Linked DNA regions of Arabidopsis thaliana. The protein of the gene in region 1 interacts with the protein of each later gene in a pairwise test. Each region holds a gene or a part of one and is shown in the gene's direction. Other genes may lie near its edges. The genes, in order: AT2G23790, AT1G01630 and LPAT2.

What was found.
Region 2: the proteins of AT2G23790 (region 1) and AT1G01630 interact in a protein complementation assay, tested with the Arabidopsis thaliana proteins (one large-scale study listed by BioGRID).
Region 3: the proteins of AT2G23790 (region 1) and LPAT2 interact in a protein complementation assay, tested with the Arabidopsis thaliana proteins (one large-scale study listed by BioGRID).

What each region holds. Positions count from the first base shown.
Region 1 is NC_003071.7:10,124,526-10,129,247, reverse strand, and holds AT2G23790 (calcium uniporter (DUF607)), read left to right. Parts: upstream 1-1,658; 5' UTR 1,659-1,792; coding exon 1,793-2,344; intron 2,345-3,097; coding exon 3,098-3,556; 3' UTR 3,557-3,881; downstream 3,882-4,722. UniProt on the Arabidopsis thaliana protein: Mitochondrial inner membrane calcium uniporter that mediates calcium uptake into mitochondria. Constitutes a pore-forming and calcium-conducting subunit.
Region 2 is NC_003070.9:226,733-231,589, forward strand, and holds AT1G01630 (Sec14p-like phosphatidylinositol transfer family protein), read left to right. Parts: upstream 1-2,066; 5' UTR 2,067-2,473; coding exon 2,474-2,611; intron 2,612-2,696; coding exon 2,697-2,992; intron 2,993-3,096; coding exon 3,097-3,202; intron 3,203-3,616; coding exon 3,617-3,727; intron 3,728-3,826; coding exon 3,827-3,943; 3' UTR 3,944-4,247; downstream 4,248-4,857. Other genes in the region: PIP1C (plasma membrane intrinsic protein 1C), read right to left, coding at 117-444; AT1G01640 (BTB/POZ domain-containing protein), read right to left, coding at 4,432-4,857.
Region 3 is NC_003074.8:21,347,046-21,353,695, forward strand, and holds LPAT2 (lysophosphatidyl acyltransferase 2), read left to right. Parts: upstream 1-2,337; 5' UTR 2,338-2,705; coding exon 2,706-2,783; intron 2,784-3,150; coding exon 3,151-3,273; intron 3,274-3,382; coding exon 3,383-3,422; intron 3,423-3,536; coding exon 3,537-3,610; intron 3,611-3,905; coding exon 3,906-3,965; intron 3,966-4,185; coding exon 4,186-4,263; intron 4,264-4,423; coding exon 4,424-4,582; intron 4,583-4,788; coding exon 4,789-4,914; intron 4,915-5,157; coding exon 5,158-5,250; intron 5,251-5,382; coding exon 5,383-5,469; intron 5,470-5,542; coding exon 5,543-5,794; 3' UTR 5,795-6,148; downstream 6,149-6,650. UniProt on the Arabidopsis thaliana protein: Converts lysophosphatidic acid (LPA) into phosphatidic acid by incorporating acyl moiety at the 2 position. Has preference for C-18-CoA substrates compared to C-16-CoA substrates. Required for female but not male gametophyte development.

The sequences.
Region 1 (4,722 bases):
GCATAATTGACCACTTCTATCTAATTAAGTAAATTATTGTTTTTTCAAACCAATTTGCTAATGTAATAAATTTGGATTTCTGTTTTTTGCCAAACTATTTGTCAAATTTGTGGACATTGCTTGTCACCTTCCAATAAGTTTGTAACTAGTGGCTGCAATACTATGCATGTGTCAGTATATAACTTGTTTAGTACTCTAATAATTTTACCAAATTGTTAATTATAGCTCCCCAACAATCGGGAGACTTCTTAAAGCTTGACGAACATATGCCGAAAGTATAAACGACAAATAGCGATCATTCAAATAACGTTTTCTTTGAAATAAACACGTTACCGACCATATGGTGATAAAATCGTATGTAACAAATAATGTTATACATATTTTTATGTTTTGTACAAATAACATGAGATTTCGAGTATATTATAAAATTATAACAACATGTTTGAAATCAATTAAAAAGTATATTTTTTGCAAAAAAAAAAAAACTCTAAAAAGAAATATCATCATAATTAACCCAAGAAACGACAAAAAAGAAAAATTAACACAAAAAAAATATGTAATTTTCTTCTGTTAACACAAACGTTTATCTGATTTATATAAACCTTTCAAAGGATTAGTCTTTCCATAGCAATGTATCCCAAAAAGATATTCGTTTGGTTCACTCCGAAAACTAAAACCTTAATTCAAAAATTTGATAGTTTTCCATTATTTTTTTGTCTAGTTGTGAGTTTGTTCCATCCTAACACGTGAAGTGAACACTTATCTATTTGTTCCACTTGCTTGTTCTTCTATACTATATATTTTTCTCAACCATCCAAAAACATGCTTCTTTCTTTTTCACTTCATTTCACAAATGTTTTGTGTATGTTCAAGATTCTTGGTATTGTTGTTCTATACTATATGTTTCTCGTACATTGGAAACCATAACTCCATACTCGAATAGAAAAAAAAAAAATTAATCTAATTTTAAGAGAAAGGTTTCTTTTAAAAAAAAATTTTTCCTTTTAAAAAAGTCTTTTTCCTTTTAAAAAAAAATTTTGGTAAATCTTTTTATGAGTTATGTGTATGAGAATTTTTGTCTCTACATTTTGGAGTTCGATTTTCGTTTTAGTTTAGGATGGTGAAGTATTTACAAAAAAGAAATCTATTTGCGAACCTAAATATCGAATAATCGTATCTTTAGATGTAGATGGATTAGTACATATCGTGATATCGATAGATCCACACATAGTTTGTAACAAAAATTATCAAAATGACTACTAGTAAAAGTGTATTTATCAAAATAATCTAGTAGTTAGTTAAAGTTGATTTAAAAAGAAAAGGAAAAGTATGTGGATCCACGTCAGGTTGCGTGCACGTAAAAGTCTTTTCATTCCCTAGTTCTTCTGCTCTGTTGCCGTTGTGAACAAATTTAGGTTTCTAAAAACAAAAACTAACACTTGTTTTGGGAAATCGCTATAATCGAACGGCTACGATACCACCGCAAAGCTATCACCTCTACCAACCCGAACACGTGTACGTCTCTCATCACTTCCACATTTCTCGCGAGAAAAACCAAAAGAGTTTCGTAAAAAAAACGAATATTCCTGCTGTAATATTAATTTCTCGTGTACGTTCCGATATACGCTGACGTGTACGAGTCTCTTTATTTTTAGGTTTAAAAAAACAATGTTATTATTTGTAAACAGTATATAAACCCTTTTAGTCTCTATTGTTTCATTATTCAGTCGTAAAATAAAACCGAATTTGATTTTTATTTTTCTCTCTCAAAGTTTTTCTTGGGAGAGCAACAATGGCGATGAGGAAGCTTTTATCGAAGAAACTCTTCAATATCACGAATGTTGCTTCACAGAGTCTTATGAATTGTCGCATTTCGTCTTCTTCGTTAGCCGTACGAACCAGAGTTCCGAATGATTCAACAGATACAACCAAAATCGCACCGGAGCCTGGAGATTTGGCGATGTCGCGAAGGTTCATGCATAACAGTGCTATGATTAGGCCGGCGGAGATTATGCAGATGCCGGTGGGAGAGAGTTTGATTGAGAAACTCCGTGAGATTGATGGAAGCAAGGATCGGATTCGATTAGACGGACTTTCTCCGCCGGAGAGGGAGACGAGTTTGACGGTGGCGGATACGAAGAAGCTGCTTAGAGCGGCGCAGATCGAGATTGTGAAATCGAAGCTAAGAGAAACGGGAAGAAGCTGGATGCCGTATAAGGAGTTTGTTAGCGTTTGTGGTGAAGCTTCTTCAGATCCAGATCTCGGATCTAAAATCGCGAAGATGCTTGATGATTCAGCAAACGTCATCGTTTTGGGAGATTCCGTTTGTATTAGACCTGATCAGGTACTTTCTTCGTTCTTCTTCTCTAGCCTTTTAGCATTTTGAAATCGTGCTTTGTCTCTGAGATCTCTCTGAGTATTGCAGCTGATTGATTGGGAGAGATAAGAGAGAGATTTAAAAACTCTCTGAAAAAAACGGATTAGGTTCTCAAAAGTTTTTGTTCGATTTTGATTTTGGAAGCTATACCGAAAACTGATACCATTTTTATTCGGTTGGATCTCTTTTCTTTTGGTTCCAATTCAACAGGAGAATCAAAAACCTCTGTGTTTTTACCAGAGTTCCATAGGAGGTTCCCAAGTTTGAGAGAGATGGTGATAAAGAGGAACAGTTTCTACAGAGACCACAACTCTTTTTTTTTCCCCTAAAAAAAAAACCATTGGTTGGATTAGGGTTATAAATTGAGTCAAGACCCTTTGGTGATTTGATACCAAAACCTAAACATAAAAAAACTTCAAAAGAGAGAGTTGAGAGAAGCTTACTAACTGGTTCTTGGGGGTTATTAGAAAGTTTATAGAGATGATGATGATAATGGGTTGGGTTTATGTGGAGGGATTAGTCAATAGTGGAAGATCTTAACCAGAAACAGGGATATGGGGATGGATTGATTGACTTTATAAACTAGTCATTGATTCATAAAGATGTATTTTTGTTGTGTGTTTTTGAGTGTGCTAATTGTGTGTCTCAAAAGAAGGTGGTGGAGGTCTTGTTTTACCCAGACATTTTCTGTTTTTGTCTTTTGCTATTGTGTTTGATCAGGTTACCAAATCCATTGAAGGACTGCTTCCTTTGCCAAAGATCCATAACCCAAATGACCCTCGGAGAATCGAGTTTAAAGAGCTTGAAGCTGAAAAGGCAGTGATCGATGTGAAAGCTCACACTTTGGTGCGGAAAGAGCTTTGGGCTGGTCTCGGTTACTTGATCCTACAGACTGCGGGGTTCATGAGGCTAACGTTTTGGGAACTCTCGTGGGACGTGATGGAGCCAATCTGTTTCTATGTCACGTCCGTGTACTTTATGGCTGGTTACGCGTTTTTCCTCAGGACATCGAAAGAGCCTTCTTTTGAAGGGTTTTACCAAAGCAGGTTCGAGGCGAAACAGAGAAAGTTGATGAATGAGTATGAGTTTGATCTGGAGAGGTATAATGAACTGAAGAAGCTGTTTTGCTCTAAGCCTTCGGATCATGTTTCCAAGATTCTTGGAGCTATCAAGAGTTAAAATTTTGATTAGGGGAAAAATTGCTTAGATTCAATGTTGTTGTCACAAATGGTGTCTGATTTTACCTAACTAGAGAATTCTACCCCAAAAAAAAGTAAGAAAAAAACGAATGGGTACTACTCTCAAATTTTTCAGTTTTCGAAAAAAAGACAAAGAGGTTGTTCTTATTATTGCGGCTTATGTAACATCAGCGAAGAGTTATGTTTTTGTTTTCGATTTTTATTTTTTATTTTTTTTATTTTTTTATTTTATGACCGATCTAAAATTTAACATTGTGTAAATAAATGTTTGAAGGTGTAATATAATACAGAATTAATTATCTGCAGATTTCATATTTGCAAAAACTAAATGAGATCTATTTTTTTCTAACAAGCGTTTGTGAAAGTACAACTACATTTATAATTTCGTTGTCATGTTATAAATCGAATCAAATCCGATAGCGTGATTCTCCTCCGTAATGGGACGGGTTTTTGTCACATAATAAATTAATAATATCCTTTCATAATTTATTAATTTTAATTAATAATAGTGGAGAATTGACCTTTTGCTATTAATTTTTATGAATCCAGAGAATTAATACTATTGAATAAAAAAACATTTTTTTAGCTCACCAAATATTGGAAAATATTATAATTACATATATCAAATATATTATTATATCATCAGTTATATAAAATAGATGTACATATTACATGACCTTGTGTATGAAATATACGTTGTCATGTATTTAACATCATAGATATATAATTTTGGTATACAGATAAATTAATTTTAATGAAAACTAACACTAATCGATCGGCGTTCACCAACAAAAATATATATCAAACGTTTAGGTTTGACTCTCTGCAATTTCTTTTCCTTTAAATTTTATAATCCTTCGGGAATCTAGTTTACGTTTAAAACGAGCTTTTGGCATCATTTTATCTACCAAAATGTGTTGTTGTAGCTAATCAGGCCCAATATCAGTTTAGAAATTAATATAATCGGCCCAATAATTAATCAAAACTTCCAAAGAAAATATATGGAAAAAAAACGAGAAAAACCAAAAGTCAGATATAGCCTGGAACTTTCTTTCCCAACAACAGTAAGACTCTGTTTTTTCCCAAGATGTCTGGTTTCCTCTTTTGTTTCGTCCAAATCTCTACTTTTTAGGGATCTTGTCCTTC
Region 2 (4,857 bases), on another chromosome or scaffold:
TAAATTAAGATCTCTTTGAGAAAAATCGAAAACTAAAAGCAGAGCTACAAGGGTTTGAAGCATGCAACAAAAGACCAATTCTACTTGTATTAAGAAGATAAAAAAAATGGGGTTACCAGAGATTCCAGCAGTACAGTAGACAAGGGCAAAGATCATGCCACCGAAAGCCCAAGCAATGCCTTGGATTCCAACAGAGGCACACATGTTTGGTGCTCTCTTCACTCCCATCACTGTCAATACTGTTATGTATAGAAACAGGAAGGTGGCTATGAACTCGGCGATTCCGGCTCTGTAGAAGGACCACGAACTCAGCTCGCCTGGCTCGAAAAATGGAGCTGGTGGTGGCTCCTTGTAGTCTTTGTCCGTCTGAGCCGATGTACCTATCGGTTGCCTCTCCGGGAACTTGTTAGCTCCCACTCGAACATCCTCTTCTTTCCCTTCCATCTCTATCTAGAAAACGTTCAAGTGTTCTTTGCTTTTTTTCTTCTTTTCTACAATGGGTAATGAGAGTGGCTGAGATAGAGAAAGAATGGTTTTATAGAGGCGAGAGAGAGAGAGAATAGAAAAAGCAAAAAAAACTAACGTCTCGAAACTATTATGATATATTTAAATAATGAGAAATACAGGGAATCATGGATAACGATGATCTTCGTAAAAGCATATTTATTTACGTTAATAATTGTAATAGCCTACTACTTGATGATGTTTAATCATGTAACACAACCCACGCTTATACTAATTCTGTTGCGTTGGCTAACTATTAGTATTATATTCTGAAACTCCTTATAAAGATAGCATGTTTGACCTAATTTATTCTCAAATGCCTTGCTACAGGAGTACTACTCAGTCAGCAGTTAGAAATGTAAAAAAAAATATTACAGTGCCAGAAAACTCACAAAGGACTAACTTTTTGACTAGTCGACGAATTAATAATTTACTTCCGACCGTTGGAGAAGAAAAGGAAAAGAAGTGTGTGGAAAGCGATTGCTTTATGTAAAGTAACATAGTCTCGAACATTGTGCCGGGCCTAGAGTATTTTTAAAATGTTTAATTAAATTACTATGTGTACTACTAGTGACAAAATAATCACAATGATTGTGAATTTGAGGTTTTTCAATTAAACGATATATATTTTAGAAAAAAAGAAAATGAAAATTGGAGATAAGGTTCAATTTTGCGGGGGTTTCCAGCTCAGAAATGGATTTTGCTTTTCTGTGATCACATGTTCGTTTCCCTATTCCCACTTTCCTTTTTCTATCAATCTATTCAAACCTAACAAAAATAAAATTCAAAACTCTGTTGTTGTTATCAATTCACATATTTTTAACGCTATATGAGCCATACTTTACTAGTTAAATGGAGTTTAGTGTTTAGGATTCAAACCCTATTAGTTTTGTTGATGTTGTCTTACCCGAACAATAATTGAATTTATAAACAGATTAACTCTATTGTAGATATCGATTTTTAAAAAACTGAAAAGGGAAACAAATAATCCGAAGCTAAACTATATGATTAAGAAACACCTTTTATTGAACTAGTGGTGGGGTTTGCCATTTTTCGAAACGCAACCCACACACACACATCACAGTCGTCTAGCTGCCCAACCAACAGAATCACGACACGTGGTTGAAGAGGCAAATATGTGTTGGTGGTGTTTACTGGGGCGGTCCCGACCAAAGTCCGTATATGACATCCTTTCTCAGTTGTACAAATCACATTTCATTATAATTCATTTCATCGAATTATCTATCTTTTAAATTTTATCAATATCTTTTTTTGTTAGAGGCGTGGACCGTATGAATGTATGATAGTATAGAAATAGAAATAATAACGTTGGCATTGTTATTTAACAAGCAAACAAATGATTAGGTTGATTGATGAACAAGCAATGACTAGGTTGATGAATTTTAATTGTTACTGACTTTGTCTGTGTACGTAGCTGGTACTTAGTTGGTACATGCCTATCAAAAGAAAAACTAATATTTTGCAACGAAGCAGATCCTTCATTGCTTACATACATGTGGAAAAAGATACGATCAATATTTTAAAAAATCGTGAATTGAATTTTGTTTTATACACACAGACGACAGACAAGCTTCTGACGTGGGCTCAAAACACTAAAACGGCCTCTGAATCAGTCAACACTTTGAGGCATGAGAGATTGATTAAACCACAGACCAAGTCTTTACGACAAATCAACTCGAGCCCAATAGGCTCTAATAAGGCCCAATACGATATAATCGTCTTCTTCCTGTAGAGTCGGGGACCTGGGATTAGTCAATAAATGAGTAGAATTTTTGTAAGGAAGAGAGTAGTTGGTGAGCGTCGCCATTGAAGGGGAAAGCAGCCCAACTTTGCATTGAATGACACTTAAAATCTTTCTCTCAGCAGCTGTCTTCATTTATGATCGATCCTACTTCTTTCTTCTCTCTACCAATTTCAAGATCTGGTCGTCGCTCACAGGAGAAACGTAATGGAAAACAAAGAGACCAAGCAAGAACCAGCAGCAGCAGCTGAGCAAAAGACCGTTCCGTTGATCGAAGATGAGATCGAGAGGAGCAAAGTCGGGATCATGAGAGCTCTCTGCGACCGACAAGATCCTGAAACTAAGGTCCCTATCGATTTCTTTAAGTAAAAAAAGAATTCAACCAGAAAAGTATTGATTTGATAAAAGCCCTAATGATTTGGATTTGCAGGAGGTGGATGATCTGATGATAAGGAGGTTTCTGAGAGCGCGTGACCTGGACATTGAAAAGGCTTCAACGATGTTTCTAAATTACCTGACTTGGAAGAGAAGCATGCTCCCAAAGGGGCACATACCAGAAGCAGAGATTGCAAATGATCTATCGCATAACAAGATGTGTATGCAAGGTCATGACAAGATGGGTCGACCTATCGCTGTTGCCATTGGGAACAGACATAACCCTTCCAAAGGCAACCCTGACGAGTTCAAGCGTTTTGTTGTCTACACGCTCGAGAAGATTTGTGCTAGGTGAATAATAATAATATTACTACATACATTAAGTTAGTGTGGGTATATAAGAAACCATTTATGCTAATGCTCTTTTTTTGTTTGTTTGAATGTTGTCATGTTAGAATGCCGAGAGGTCAAGAGAAATTCGTAGCAATTGGAGATCTGCAAGGCTGGGGATATTCTAATTGTGACATCCGTGGCTACCTTGCTGCTCTTTCCACTTTGCAGGTTACTTCCTTTAATTCGCCTATCATATCTTTTGAAACAAACATTTAGGTTTTTAGCAATTATCACTAATAAAGGAAAATATTGCTAATAATCCACTTAACTCCAAATATAGAGAATTCAGTTTGACTTCCAACTAAGAAACCTTTTGTTCGTCAGTACTATTTACTATGTTTTAAAAGGTGTTTTTGTTATTTTGGAGTAGGTGATCAGGTTAAAGGTCTTTTTGTTATTTTGGTCCTTTTGGCCACACTTGGCTTCTTTTTTTTTGTTTCTCTTTGTTTATGGATTTTTTTTGAAAAGGAACTTTCATGATTGTAATCCTATTTTTAGCAAAATATTGCGTTAGTAATATTGTTCATGGTCGTGAGTCCTGACAGTGAGTAACCCCCACATTAAGAAAACCTTGTTTTACAGGATTGTTACCCAGAGAGATTAGGGAAACTCTATATAGTTCATGCCCCCTACATTTTCATGACCGCATGGAAGGTCATTTATCCTTTTATCGACGCCAACACCAAGAAAAAGGTACATTGATTTGCTCTGCTTCACAATCACTTTATTAGTATGTTTTAAGACTGTGTTGGAAAATTTGATTGTTAATTTCGTGTTTTTTTGGGGGGGCAGATTGTTTTCGTGGAGAACAAGAAACTCACTCCAACGCTGCTTGAAGACATAGACGAAAGCCAACTTCCCGACATCTACGGAGGCAAATTGCCACTTGTTCCTATTCAGGAGACCTGATTATAGGTCTTACTACGGCCCACCTCTATTTCCAAATTATTACTTACTAGTATTATTTTTTATTTGAATAAAATGAAAAACATATTGAGTGTCGCCAAATGCCAACAATTATATATTTACTGTCAAAGAAGCTAAAAGATATAATATTGAAAACACCTTTAAATTTCATGTAATTTTTCATAATTATCTATCTACTGTGATCTAGCCATAATACTTCGGCAACTATACAATTTCAGTCTAGCTTGCTGTTGCTCTTCCCTGCAAATCTAACACACAACTTGTTCCAACTAGAATTCTAAACCAAAACAACAAAATAATATAAAAGAGGTTTAATTTATGAAGGGTACATTGAAAAAAAGAAAACACCTTGAATTGATAATCCATAAAACAAGTCTTTACTAATATTTTCACTCTTATTAGAAAGAAAAGAAGAAACCATCAAATCCCCTTTGGCAAGTGAGATCGATCCACTTACACAAGCTGTTTGTTCACCAGATGCGTGGGCGAGTATTACCATTTAGAGGAGCTCCATGATCTTTGGCTTTGGCTTTGGTCTCTCTCAGATAAGCCCGAGTGATCTCCACGCTTAGATCCGGGTTCCTCTGCACAAACGTCTCATATTTCATGGGAACAACCACTTCTTCCATATGTTTGACAATATGATTGATAGCCGCGTCTTTCAAGATTGTGTCACAAGGTATACTGGCGAGCTCTAAGATGTCTAGGACGTTCCTAGAGCTCAGAGATGCGATGAAATGGTTACGGCATACGTCTTGCAGATATGAAATGTCGTACTTATCTGCAGCCAGATATAGGGATCGGTATTGATTGTATGGAGCTTTTAGGTTACCGCTGTAGAGGAACTCGAGAAGAGATTTGAGTTCGTCGTGGGACAAATCAGGGAGAGTGATTGA
Region 3 (6,650 bases), on another chromosome or scaffold:
AGTAAAAATCTGTGAAGTAAATATATGAACTTTTGCTTGTCTCTGGCAAAAATCTGAATGGTAATGTTTCAGACTGAAGCCAAAATGGCATTGGCATTGTCTCTGCGTCATGTGTGTCTCATCTGCGATCTACAGTTTGATGGATAATTTGCAGAATTCTCAATCAGCATGATGCTATGTTTATGAATCATGTAAGCAGAAACGACTCCTGTTTACGTTATATCAATGTTTCCATGGGTTTTGTTAGTTAAAGATTGCCGCTGGAAGCGTGTGCGTATACTATCACTGAGAAGAAAGATGAAGACAAGCCAAAGATGATCGTAGTAGCTTAAGGAACTCAAGTGGATTCAGACATCACTTTAGAGATCGAAATAGGGTTTGAGAATTGGAAAACAGTGTGAAAATAAGCTAAAGCAGTTGCAATCTCCTCAGTTATATTCATTGCAACGTTCGATGAGATCTTCTAACAGCATCTCCCCCCTCTAGCTCTTGATATCTTATTCCTCAACTAATCGAGAAACACTTAACTTTGAAAAATAAAATGACAAAACTTGAAGACCTCACACACTCTCAGTTGATCAAAACGAAGAACACTAGCTAAGATATAAAGTCAAGCTGTCGTTGTTGAATATCCCACAAAGTCGTCCTTCCAAGAAAAAGCTCACAACAAGACTTGCGGACTAATTTCATAGTTCTTTCTACATCACCTGAAAACTAGTTAGGAAGCTAAGGCTTTCTCTGTTTTTTTTTTGTTTGTCATTGTTCCACTGGTTCTTTGCTACAATTTAGGAGACTAGAACAAAACTAAATTTTTTGTTTGGTTATACAATGCAAAAAAATATCTGCAAAATAAGTGATTTAGTCTCTAACCGAGAAAAAAGTAATTAAAAACAGAGCAATTACTAACTATAATTTCTGGTGTCATTTTGAGACTATAGTTAAAACTTACAAGCAATGTTTTACATAAATCATTTTTAAAATTATAAGTAAAAATGTTGGCGCCTCAGTATTTCAGGTTCGATTCCCATTGTTCTTTTTCAAATTGGATAATTTAGTCCACATTGACAAAAAGAAAGAAAAATCATAATATGTTTAAGGATGCGTCAAGTGTATGCATATATATTGTTGTAAAAAGAAAAAAGGTGTATGCATACGTTTCTAACATATTTTGTCTGGCAGTCAACTATTTGTTATGAATATGTACAATCACATAGAAATGATAGCATGTGGCTATGTTACGTGAATTAAGGCAAATGATCTTACGTAGGGAAAATTGTAACTAAAAACTCAACAACCCTTATTTGTTTTTTTTGTTATCTTTTCCACTTTGCTGCAAAATTTATTGGAGAATCTGAATAAAGCGGTGAGCATAGTACAGCTGAAAATAACTAGATGATGAACTTGTTCTTTAGTTTGTTTTGATTCTTCATTATATTTAAAGAAAATTTGGTTAGATAGATCAACCACTTCAACAATACTTTTGTAACTTCAAATATTTAATAACAAAAAAATTAAAAAATGTTTGAACTTTACTGAAATGAAATTTCGATATTAGAATACTAAAGAATCAAACGTGCACTTAAATATCATTTAGTTTATATTTATACAAACCATGAAAGACTCTCATACTTTACACCGCACATAAACAATCAGAACCATACCAAACCATGTGAATAGAATCACAAAGACGTCATGCTTTAATTTACAAGCAAAAAAACAAAAGGCATCGGCTAGAGAATAGCAAAAAGAGGAAGAATTGAACGGAAAAATTGAAAACATATGGAACAAAGTGGAGCACTTAAACATCCACGGTAATATTAGTATATTAGTCACCTTCAGACTAGGGCCAGACATGAACAAAGGATTCGATGTTAGTGACAAGTAGCATATCAGACTAATAAGGATATATATTAAGCGGTATGGGTAACACATTAATCCTTTCTCCAATTACATTCTCTTTAAGGTTCTAAGATCCGCCACTAGGCCATTTTATTGGTAAAAGTAAAACCATTTTGGTGGTCGTCTATGAGTGTTAAGAATTATGTAACAATTTTTTTGGATTCACCTGAAATAAATCTGTTGATTTGAAATATTTGGACGTTACATTTCCATATATAAGCTTACCATACAAACATTATAATTAATTGGAAAGTCCAGCTAGCACTTTTTACCACATGCAAAGGGAATTAATCCTAACTTAAAAAATTAGGAGTAATCACATCTTGGTAGTGTATACCGATCAATTTCCGACAGACGTTTTTTTTTTCCTTGCCCATTGATTGCATAGTTCAAAACTTCAAAGTTGGCCAATCCAACCAAGTCGAAGAGATAGGAGATGTTTTGAAGTATGAAAACAAATAGAGGGGCTAAAATCAAAATAACAAGAAAAAACGCTTCTGCCGTGTTCGAATGTGTCCTCGTGATCATCTCCGTATATAATCAATCAATCAATAAAAATCCAGAGTTACAAACACTCTTCTCAAAATTTTCCCATTAAATCGCAAAGTTAATTTTGCGATTTTTTTTCTCTTTTTTTCTGGTTGGGTTATTTATTTTCCCCTTTTAAAAAACTTCTGCAACTTGTCTTGAAATCTGGGGTAAAATATTTCTTCATTGGTTTCTGGAAATCTCGGGGAACGATTTGTTGGGTTTTCTTCTTTGTACTCTCTCCTCACATTAGCTTTTGTTGGTGGGATTTTTTGAGGATGGTGATTGCTGCAGCTGTCATCGTGCCTTTGGGCCTTCTCTTCTTCATATCTGGTCTCGCTGTCAATCTCTTTCAGGTTTGGTTTCTGATTCGTTTCTGGTGTTACTCTTTTTAGATTCCGTTGTTGTTCTACATTGTAGATCCTTTCTTCTTTTGTTTTGATTCACTGCTTTTAGGGTTTCCTTCTCCAGAAACTTTGATTCTTTCGTTTTTGTCGGTGATTGTGTCTTAATTCTGAGTGTGCATATGAGAGTATAAGCTCGAAATTGACTCGTGGAGCTCATGCACTGAGCTATAGAGTGTTGTTTGATTCTGCGATTAAGTATCACTTTCTTCAGATTTATCTTGATTTCTATGTTGATTGAATCGAGGAAGGAATCTTTTTTTCTCTCAACTTCGTTTGCTTCAGTTTTGATGTTTACTACTACATATTGTTGTTTCAGGCAGTTTGCTATGTACTCATTCGACCACTGTCTAAGAACACATACAGAAAAATTAACCGGGTGGTTGCAGAAACCTTGTGGTTGGAGCTTGTATGGATAGTTGACTGGTGGGCTGGAGTTAAGGTATCCACAAGCTTTCTCCTTTTTACTAAATGGTTGTTAAGCTTGGATTTTGTTTTATCTTATCTAACTCTATGAGTTCCTCTCAAATTTCTTGTTTCTTTTCCCTTAGATCCAAGTGTTTGCTGATAATGAGACCTTCAATCGAATGGGTAAGTTCATATGCTTATTGGCAATCAAATCAGTTTCTGATGTCTTCAAGATATAAAATTCCTATGTAAGAACGAATCTGTAACTTCATTGACTGTCCTACTATTTTTTTCTAGGCAAAGAACATGCTCTTGTCGTTTGTAATCACCGAAGTGATATTGATTGGCTTGTGGGATGGATTCTGGCTCAGGTACATAATTTCACCTCACAGTTTCATCTATCTTCCTACGTTTTTGTTTGAATGCATAAATGGAGATCAACATAATAGACTTCTTGATGAGAAAGCATGTATACTTGCAATGGGACCATGTATTGCTTCCAAGTATCTACTTAAGAAAGATTATCTTAGGTAGAAGGTGACAGTCCCTAGTGATCATCTGATGAGATATGAGAGAGTATAGCATCATCATATTTTCTCTTAACACGCTCCCTGTTATGCTGTTTACATCTTTTAATCTATTGTTTCATATTTTCTTTCCTTGCAGCGGTCAGGTTGCCTGGGAAGCGCATTAGCTGTAATGAAGAAGTCTTCCAAATTCCTTCCAGTATGTGAATATTTTAGCTTACTGCTGTGTGCTTGCTAGATTTGAGAGAAAATAGTAGTAATCTTTAATTCTATTTCTGAATCTCTTCTATAAGTTAGAAATTTGATACCTGGCTTTGCGTTTGAGAAAAAATCATTGTTTTAGGTTAATACACTTCTCCGCCTTTTTTATCTGTTACATATTCATAGTACTCATAAACAGAATTTTCACACACATACAGGTCATAGGCTGGTCAATGTGGTTCTCGGAGTATCTCTTTCTGGAAAGAAATTGGGCCAAGGATGAAAGCACTCTAAAGGTATGGGTTTATAGTATCCTTGTGCAACTCATTTAGTTTTTGCTCCTGTGTAAAATGCTTATTAGCACGTGCAGCTACCTCGTTCATGAGGGGATTAGCCTAAAAATGCAGAATCTTCATTTCCAGACCATGAGTTATGTGTGTTTGTCTAAATTTACAGTCAGGTCTTCAGCGCTTGAGCGACTTCCCTCGACCTTTCTGGTTAGCCCTTTTTGTGGAGGGAACTCGCTTTACAGAAGCCAAACTTAAAGCCGCACAAGAGTATGCAGCCTCCTCTGAATTGCCTATCCCTCGAAATGTGTTGATTCCTCGCACCAAAGTAAGTTGTAATATTTTTCTTTTGTTCATTCCTGGGGCAACTTGATATCTTCTCTGTGTCCTTTAAAAAGCAAAATGATTGCTATGATGATCCAAAATCTCAATGCATGGGTAGCCTTTATACGTTTCATTTTCATCAGATCGACTTGGTGGTTGTTATTGTGATTTCTGCCCTAATTACTAGACTTGCTTGTATTTTTGTTTCAGGGTTTCGTGTCAGCTGTTAGTAATATGCGTTCATTTGTCCCAGCAATTTATGATATGACAGTGACTATTCCAAAAACCTCTCCACCACCCACGATGCTAAGACTATTCAAAGGACAACCTTCAGTGGTAAGCAAGCAAAAATATGAATAGGTCGTATAGCAGTTGAATCTTGCACTCTTCTCACAACAAATTTCAAAGTATGCACTGGCTTGGATCACATCACCATCCAATTTACTGAAACGAACATAACTCTTTATATCACCTTTACTTTTATAATGTGTAAGAAACCGTAGGACTCATCCCATCCCAAGCCTTTTTCTTTTAAAACCTCCTGCGCCATTAACGCAAACCATTGCTGCTGGTTTCAAGGTGCATGTTCACATCAAGTGTCACTCGATGAAAGACTTACCTGAATCAGATGACGCAATTGCACAGTGGTGCAGAGATCAGTTTGTGGCTAAGGTAAAAATTATGGATGTACTGGTATTTCCACGTTTCAGTTATTGGCAATAATATATTTGGTCAAGATTTGATAGAGAAAAGCTTGGAAAAGCTTTCATTTTGGTATTCTCTCATCTCGTCTCTGTGATACAGGATGCTCTGTTAGACAAACACATAGCTGCAGACACTTTCCCCGGTCAACAAGAACAGAACATTGGCCGTCCCATAAAGTCCCTTGCGGTGAGTCTATAAAATTCATAACATTCTCTTGGTTCCATCTATAAACTCACAAATCTCTTGATCTTTTTCTCAGGTGGTTCTATCATGGGCATGCGTACTAACTCTTGGAGCAATAAAGTTCCTACACTGGGCACAACTCTTTTCTTCATGGAAAGGTATCACGATATCGGCGCTTGGTCTAGGTATCATCACTCTCTGTATGCAGATCCTGATACGCTCGTCTCAGTCAGAGCGTTCGACCCCAGCCAAAGTCGTCCCAGCCAAGCCAAAAGACAATCACCACCCAGAATCATCCTCCCAAACAGAAACGGAGAAGGAGAAGTAAAAACTGGTTCTCACAGATCCAAACATCAAACACAACAAGAAGAAGCGCGTGTCAGTTTTGTTATAAGAAACAGAAAACCAAAAAAAAAAGACATCCAAATGAAAAATCCCTTAATATTATCAACTCCGTTTTGTTCAGCTACTATATTACTACTACTACTACTACGCAGCCTATGTCTCTTAGTCGATTGATGTATAGGGTCATGATCAAATCAACGATTTAATCCCTATAGTCCCTTGGGATTTTTTTTCTCAAGTGCATAGGCCTTGTATAACTTTCTATTTTTAGATTGGAATTTGGGATTGATATTAGACATTTTCCTTTTATTATTAAACTGTTTTGTTCCTTGGTTCTCATTGCTAGTGTAGAATTTATTAGGCACAAAACATGTTATTACAAGACGTTTTAGAAGAAAAAACAGAATTTATTCATGTACATAAATTATCTGACTAGACTAATCCTACTGGGACTTAATTGTGATTAGACAAAAAAAAATTCATTTTGAGAAGAAAAAACAGAAACCCGTTCATGGAATTAACTGAGATTAGACAAATTCAACTACAGTATGACGGTGATTACAGGGAGAATATCGTAAAAGAACAGGTTTTATTTTCTTCCATTTTTGATAGAACACATTTTTTTTTTTTTAATGAGTGTATAATATAATAAACACAATTTTTATTTTAGTTTTCTCAACCCTAAAACTAAAACCCTTTCACGCCGATTCAAAAGAAAAAAAAAACCTTCACAAGTCCGGTTGCTCGCGCCGCTTTTCTCTCTGTTTTCAAACTCCGATTAAAGTCCCGACTTGTATCAATTGATAAACCCTAATTGTCTCCGTTCTTGCTGAAACACT